2 linked regions of the Rattus norvegicus genome follow. The protein of the gene in region 1 interacts with the protein of each later gene in a biochemical or structural test. Links are inferred from orthologs where the notes say so. Each region holds a gene or a part of one and is shown in the gene's direction. Other genes may lie near its edges.

What was found. The genes of interacting proteins can lie anywhere in the genome.
Region 2: the proteins of Dlg1 (region 1) and Iqsec2 interact in a test that uses a peptide from one of them, tested with the Homo sapiens proteins (2 studies listed by IntAct, with this or other methods). The link is inferred for Rattus norvegicus from reciprocal best matches to the Homo sapiens genes DLG1 and IQSEC2.

The regions. Positions count from the first base shown.
Region 1 is NC_086029.1:82,604,960-82,609,327, reverse strand, and holds the start of Dlg1 (disks large homolog 1), read left to right. Parts: upstream 1-1,530; 5' UTR 1,531-1,949; intron 1,950-2,403; 5' UTR 2,404-2,436; coding exon 2,437-2,455; intron 2,456-3,136; coding exon 3,137-3,268; intron 3,269-4,368. UniProt on the Homo sapiens protein: Essential multidomain scaffolding protein required for normal development. Recruits channels, receptors and signaling molecules to discrete plasma membrane domains in polarized cells.
Region 2 is NC_086039.1:24,814,244-24,817,213, forward strand, and holds the end of Iqsec2 (IQ motif and SEC7 domain-containing protein 2), read left to right. Parts: intron 1-17; coding exon 18-983; 3' UTR 984-2,323; downstream 2,324-2,970. UniProt on the Homo sapiens protein: Is a guanine nucleotide exchange factor for the ARF GTP-binding proteins.

The DNA.
Region 1 (4,368 bases):
AAAACCCCAAACAACTCCCCCATAGTTTACTGATTGATGGATTGATTTTAAATGTGTATAGTGCATGGCGGTGGGGGGGGGGTCCCTCTCGCCTTCGACCATGTGGATCCCAGGAATGGAATTCAGGGCATCCAGCTCGGAGGCAAGAACCAAGTGAACCATCTCCAAGCTGGATCCAAGCGGATCCAGCCTTAAGGTTTGACACATATGGGTCTCTGCCTTTCTGGTTCTGCCTCAGTAACTTCTGACGACTTTGGAAAAATTTTCCTGGGCTATGGAGCAGAGAAGTTCCTATTGCTTAAAAGCCGCTCAGTGAGCTGGGCAGTGACTCGGAGAACTGTCCCCTTCCTCAAGCTGCAGCCTCAACTCTAGAGCAAGGGTCCCTTGGGACTGTTTGCTCTGCTTTGAGGAGCTTGAAATTTAAACTAGCTGTGAGGGCTGGCAGTAGTTCAGTCTCTGAGGTAGCTACAGGTGAGAGGCTTTTTTTGTTTGTCTTTTACCTAAGACAGGGTTTCTTCTCTGTCTAGCCCTGGCTGTCCTGGAACTCACTGTAACCCAGGTTGGCCTGGAACTCAAAAAGATTAGGTTGCCTTAGCATCCTGGGATTAAAGTCCTGTGCTACCACCACCAGGTAGACAGGTGAGTTTCTTAAAGGGTCCTCCATAAGATGGGTAACTCTTGGGAGCATCACTGGGCAGGGACACATTCATGAACGCACAGATGAATGCAGGCATAAATGAATGAAAAATTTCATCATTAAACGGCTCATATTAGGAGTTAACCACTTACACCTAAAAGTCCCCTGAAACCCTCAAACGTTTACCAAACTAATCAGTCTCCGTTTTACATCCGGTCCTTAATGAAACTCCTCAAACCTTTTTGGACAAACGAATACTTTAAAAACCAGTCAAAAGTGGAAGACCCAGATTACCCCTTCCCCTCCGAAGTCCCTTCTTTCTCCGCCCCTTAACGTGGGTGACCGGCGCAGCCTGCACAAACTCCTTTTTCCCTGTTGGGGATCCACCCCGGGCGTGCCAGGTACTCTTCCAGCCTTGAAGTTGGCCAGCACGTGTTCAGTGAGGTTAAGGGGTGTCTGGAGCTTGTTTCTTGGATCTGGCGCAGGTGAGGTCACTTCTCTGTTTCAGTCTCCATCATCTCGAGTCCAGCGCGCTAGTTCAGAACTGCAGGCCACCCTGGGCTAGGGCGACGGGCAGGCTAGCTGTCCCAAAAACACTTCGGACCACCTGTAGAGCGCGTGCCAACTCCTTTGTCCTTAGAGCCACTTCGACTGGAGCGCCTCTCAGCAAGGCGCTTCCCTCTGGATGCTGAAGGGTCCCTCCTTCCACTACTCCAACCCCCTCCCAGCCCTCCTCCCTTTGCCAACCCCTAGGTAGCAGCGCCCGGAGCCCCGGGCTCCGAGCGAGCCGCCTCCTCACTTCTCATTGGCTGAGGGCGTCGGGAAAGCAGTCACGTGGGCGCGCGGCAGGCCAGCTCCAGGGCCGCCATCTTGGCGGAAAGTTTAGGGGGAGAGCGACTGGGGGCGCGGAAGGAGGCGAGGTTCCGGGGGTGGGGCGGCCCGGAGGCGAGCGGGCGAGCGGGGCCGCGAGCGGCGGCGAGAGGGCAGGCGGCGGCGGCCGAGGCGGAGAGAGCGGCGCGGGGGTGCGGCCGCCGAGAGGAGCTCCTCCCCCGTCCCCTCACCCCCTCAGCTGAGCTCGAGTCGGGGCGGGGCGGGGTACGTGGAGCGGGGCCGGGCGGGGAGCTGCTCCGAGTCTGGCCGGAGCGCACCCGGGGCGCCCGCGTTCGCCGCTCGCGGGAACTTTGCGGCGGAGCCGCAGGTGTGGAGGCCGCGGAGGGGTGCATGAGCGGCGCGAGGGCGGCGCACAGAGCGGCGGCTGTCCGGTCCGGCCCCTGCTGGAGTCGCCGCCGGGAGGAGGCGAGCGAGGAGCCAGGCAAGCGAGAGGAGGGGGCCGGAGCGGGCCGGGGGAGCAACCCGGCGCTTGGCTGGGCGCTGCGCGGCTGGACACGGGCCGGCGGGCGGCAGCAGGTGGGGAGCGTGGCAAGCACGCCGCGGCGGCGGCCCGGCTGCTCCTCTTCAGGTGCTCTTTGCGGAGGGGGAAGCTCTGGAGGAACATTCCGAAGCGGGCTTGGGTCCGATCTTAATCTGTAGGGGGCATAGCGACCCCCGAGAACCGGCTTTCTGCCTTGGCTGACACTGCTGGGGGGGTTGAGGCTCCTGCTTTTCACTTGGGAAAACTTTGAAAGGTGGGCAGTTCCTCCAAGGTTGGAGTTTTTCCTAGTTGAGAGTTTGGGACGGGGGTGGGGGGTTTGGGGGGGAACGAATGGATCCACGGTTCAGTTCTTTGCCTTAGTTCAAGTTTTTCTTCCTGTTTTGTGTTTGTAAAGGTGTGTGTGCCTTCTTCCTGCTTCTGGGAAAAAATGCCGGTCCGGAAGCAAGGTGAGAATTTATTTTGGAACTGTTTTGTGGCTGTCACTGGCTGTAACATACATCAGTGTTGTGGTTACTGTTTTTAAAAGGATTGTGTGACTTTGATGAATCAGCAGGCTCTCGCCTTTATTCCTTACGGTATCTAAGCTCCACATCATTTCAGAGGGTGGAAACACCTAGTTCGCTGCACACACCTTCTCCACATCTGTAGTGATTACTGAAGCAATCAATCAGCCCCCTGCCATGTCTTTTTAAAAACTTCGTTGCTTCAGTATTTCACTTTTCATTCATAGCACCACTATTTTGTGAACAACTGAGAGTAGCTAAGAACCGATGTTTAAAAACTTAAAATTTGGTTATAGGACCAAGTTGGAGATAACTTGTTCTTGTCTATTAGGCATTCTAAAACCAAGTTGTTACCAGTTTAATTAGATGGTCTTTAAGTATTGGAGGCTGTCAGTCCACAGCCACTACTTTCTCCTTCCTCTAGTGTGATATAAAGCCTTTAAAGTATTTTCGTCTTAGCAGGGAATGGAATATGGTTGTAGCGCTGACCCCACTTGACTTGGAGGCTCTGGGGAACTCTTTAGATGTCTTGTAGACGTAGCATGTAGCACTTTCTTGTAAGTATGCATGCAGACACAGACCCTAAATATATACATGAAATTTTCACCGTACTTGTCTTTTCAGATACCCAGAGAGCATTGCATCTGTTGGAAGAATATCGGTCGAAACTAAGCCAAACCGAAGACAGACAGCTCAGGAGTTCCATAGAGCGGGTTATTAGCATATTTCAGAGCAACCTCTTTCAGGCTTTAATAGGTGAGAATTAAAACTGTTTTACTTGTGACCACTGTACTAATGCATGGTGCTTCTCTGTCATGTGAAACTTAGAATGACAATGTGCTTGGCTCTCCGGGGACGGCCATTAACTTGGAACATCTCTACTGTGCTTATGTTTTGCAGTAGGCCACTGTTGCTTCTAAAGGTATTTAATTACCAGAAAAAACTTACTGGTATGGTTATTTCTGTGCCCTCTGAGAATACCGTTTCAAGTTTTAGAGTTACCTATTGAAAGATGGACAAGTTGTAGAAATGTTTTAGGAACATCAATGGTTCCTGAACTATTGTTGGTGTTTCTGTAGTTGACTTGTATTTCTCTGGAATCCTTGAAGATATTTGAAGGGTTCTGCTGTGTTCGAGAGCAGTCATCTCTTTGATATACACCTCTGTTAAATTTGACATTCCTATAGTATGAGTTTTAGACCTGGAGAATGATCTCAGAGGTGATGTCTAATAATTATCTTATTCTACAGATAGCATTGTAACAGTCTTATTCTTACCTACCTGTATCTTAAATATGAGATAGTTCGTTGTTTTAAAGAGTTGGACAAGTAGTCCAAAGTCCTGACTAGTTCCTGACACGGTTAGTGATTAAATATCAGAGAGCCCATTCATCCAGTTTAGGCTGGTTAGTAACTGTAGACTGTGGGCGAGTAAGTGAAGAGTGGGCTTTTAAGACTTTTAAAGACAGCAGGTTCTTTTAAAAATGAAATTTCTGTTTTTCTCACCTGACTACTGAACCAGGTGGTTTATTGCCTCCAGGTTCAATAGTAAGATTAAAAAAAATTAAGTAAGGACTGTCTAACACGTTCAAATAAGACCTATGCTTTCTCTCATTATGTCCATTTTCTCAGTAACTTCCCAGCGGATAGGCCTCACACACGTGTGTGCTGATAGATTGATTACTGGTGTGATTTGAACACTGTTGTCAATGTGTGCCTTGTCAGATAACTTATTGCTCTATTGATGCTCTTTAGCCTTGTACAGGCTTGGTAGACCTTATAACTTTTTAGAGTTTAGTGTTACTACAGACTTAAAGACATGCATTAAGGGTGGGGAGAGGGTGAACTGCCAGTGTC
Region 2 (2,970 bases), on another chromosome or scaffold:
CCCCTCCCCCCTTTCAGGGGTCTGTTATTAGCAGTCCACGCCCTCACCAGAGGATGCCACCTCCGCCCCCACCCCCGCCGCCAGAGGAGTACAAGAGCCAGAGGCCAGTCTCCAACTCCTCATCTTTCCTGGGCTCCCTATTTGGAAGCAAGAGAGGCAAAGGGCCCTTCCAGATGCCACCACCGCCAACAGGCCAGGCCTCTGCCTCGTCTTCATCTGCTTCCTCCACCCACCACCACCATCACCACCACCACCATGGTCACAGCCATGGTGGCCTGGGGGTGCTACCTGATGGGCAGTCCAAGCTCCAGGCCCTGCATGCCCAGTATTGCCAAGGACCGGGCCCTGCCCCACCACCCTACCTCCCACCCCAGCAACCCCCTCTGCCTCCACCCCCTCAGCAGCCTCCACCCCTGCCCCAGCTGGGCTCCATTCCACCACCACCTGCCTCAGCCCCACCTGTGGGGCCACATCGACACTTCCATGCCCATGGCCCAGTTCCAGGACCCCAGCATTATACCTTGGGCCGGCCAGGCAGAGCCCCAAGACGAGGGGCTGGAGGACACCCTCAGTTTGCTCCACATGGCCGCCACCCCTTGCACCAGCCCACATCCCCGTTACCCCTGTACAGTCCTGCTCCACAGCACCCTCCTGCCCATAAACAGGGCCCCAAGCACTTCATCTTCAGTCACCACCCACAGATGATGCCAGCAGCAGGTGCAGCTGGGGGCCCTGGGTCCCGGCCACCAGGGGGATCCTACTCCCACCCTCACCACCCCCAATCACCACTGTCCCCACACTCACCCATCCCACCTCACCCCTCCTACCCGCCCCTGCCCCCACCCTCACCTCACACTCCACATTCACCCCTACCACCCACCTCCCCCCATGGCCCACTGCACGCCTCTGGGCCCCCTGGCACGGCTAATCCACCCAGTGCAAACCCCAAGGCCAAGCCAAGCCGGATCAGCACTGTGGTCTGAGGAATGGGATGAGTGTACTGGGGAACAGGATAGTCTGGGGAAATCCACAGGAGAGGGACCTTGCCCCTCACTTCTTCCTCGTTTTTTTCAAAATATATATACACTCAGCAGTGTCCTTCTTCCCACTTCCTCCATATCTCCAGACCCTTCTTCCAACCCCCAGCAGTTGCCATGGGGTCTCCTTTCAGATTGGAGGGCCCTTGCCACTCGCAGCCTGAGCATAGGGCACTGCAGTGCTGGGAAGCGGTAAGGGCCTCTCAGCAGCCCTCGTCCTCCCGTTCCTGTCTTCCTCTCCTCTTTCTTGTCCCTGGAGGTCTAGTTGGTGACCTCAGACCTCTGGACAAATGTGAGCTTCCTTGCAAGCTGATGGAGAAGGCAGGCTTCTGGAGCTGCAGAGGTGAAGGCTTTCCCCAGAGCTCCTCTGGCTGTGTGGGGCTAGGAGAGAGCTCTGTAGAGCTGTGGCCAAACCTCAGCTGGCTCAGCCCTCTGACCTCAGGGCCTAGCCACACACCTCCATGTGTCTTTCTGCCTGCTGGAGGACACATAGACCGTCAGTCAGTGCACTCCGTGGGTGGAACCCCGCTTGTGCTGGCCCCCAATGAGGGCAGTGCTTCCTCTCTTGAGCCAGTCTGTGCCCTCTCTCCTAATAGGCCCCAGCCCAGACCTCTTTGGCTTCAGGAACTTGCCTTGCCCTGCAATGTTCTTATCCTGATCAAAGTCCAGACAGGTTTTTACTTTGGAGGCGGGGGAGGGGGGGGCTCAGGTCTGGGATGAGAAGGGTACTGCCCTCCCTCACCCATATTGCATGCCCCCCCTTCCTTCTTTTCCCACCTTCAACTGAAGACAATGCACTTTACAGATACCACCCACACATATCTCACTGGGGCAGGGCACCCAGCATCAGCCCTGGGGAAAGACTCCCAGAGGACCACCCTGAGCCCAAGATGTCCTTCCTGAGGCAGAGATTGAAGCCATCAGAGCAGGGGCTGCGAGCCAGAATGCCCAAGCCCCTCTTGTTCATCAAAATCTCCACTGCCTCGCCAGCCCTTCTGCACCCTGTTTATTTATTATAAATATATTTTTTACAAGTCCCAGCTCCTCTTCTTGCCCTACATTCAGCTCCTTTCACAGTCCCTGCCTTTCTCTCCCCTGTCCAGTATGGGCTGCAATACAGACAGACAGATGGACCCTCTATGTCAAAGGGTCCCTGGGGCTTGGGGTTGTGGGAGGGTGTTGGTGGGAGGGACTTATGGAGAGGAGCTGGGGTTCAGACATTGTCTTTTTCCCTCCTTGTATATAAGAATGTATATTTGATGCCTCATAAAAGACCTTGTGCTCACCTCTGGCCTCTGCCTCCTACTTATGATCCCTTCACTGCCATGGAGCCCATGGAGAGATCCTAGTCCGGGGAGGTTCTAACGGTAATTCAGGCAACTGTGTGGGCAAGATGCTTTGGTTAGGTAGGAGGGTAGATGATGGTGAGGGTTTTCCTGTTTCATATGTTTCCTGTATGATGGTGGCAGGAGTGTGGGCTCTGGGGTTGATCCAGTTCACATCCTGTAGGTTTTACTTAGGCACAAGAGTTTCAGGGGATCATCCTCCAACTGTTTGTTACTTCAGTTTACCACTTGGGATGGCCATGTGTTGTTATGCTTTCTCCATGAAGCTTGCACACATTCATGTATGGATACACACATATACATAATTAAAAATACACTCCCTTAGAAAAAGAATATCTTCAATTCTGCCAGGCTGTCTAAACAGTTGCATGGAATCGTGATGACTGTGTAGTAATGAACGCCAAGCAGCTAGGGTGAAGCAGGTATTCAGCAAGTCAATTCTCTCATCATCTTTGTAGAAGTTGGATATTTGGAGAATGTGTGGCCTCTGTTCTCCCTCTTCCTGTGACTGGCCTGGTTTTGTCTTGAAACCTCTGCTACTGACCCTCCATGAAGTGGCTGGCCATATTTTTGCTTTTGAGGGCAGG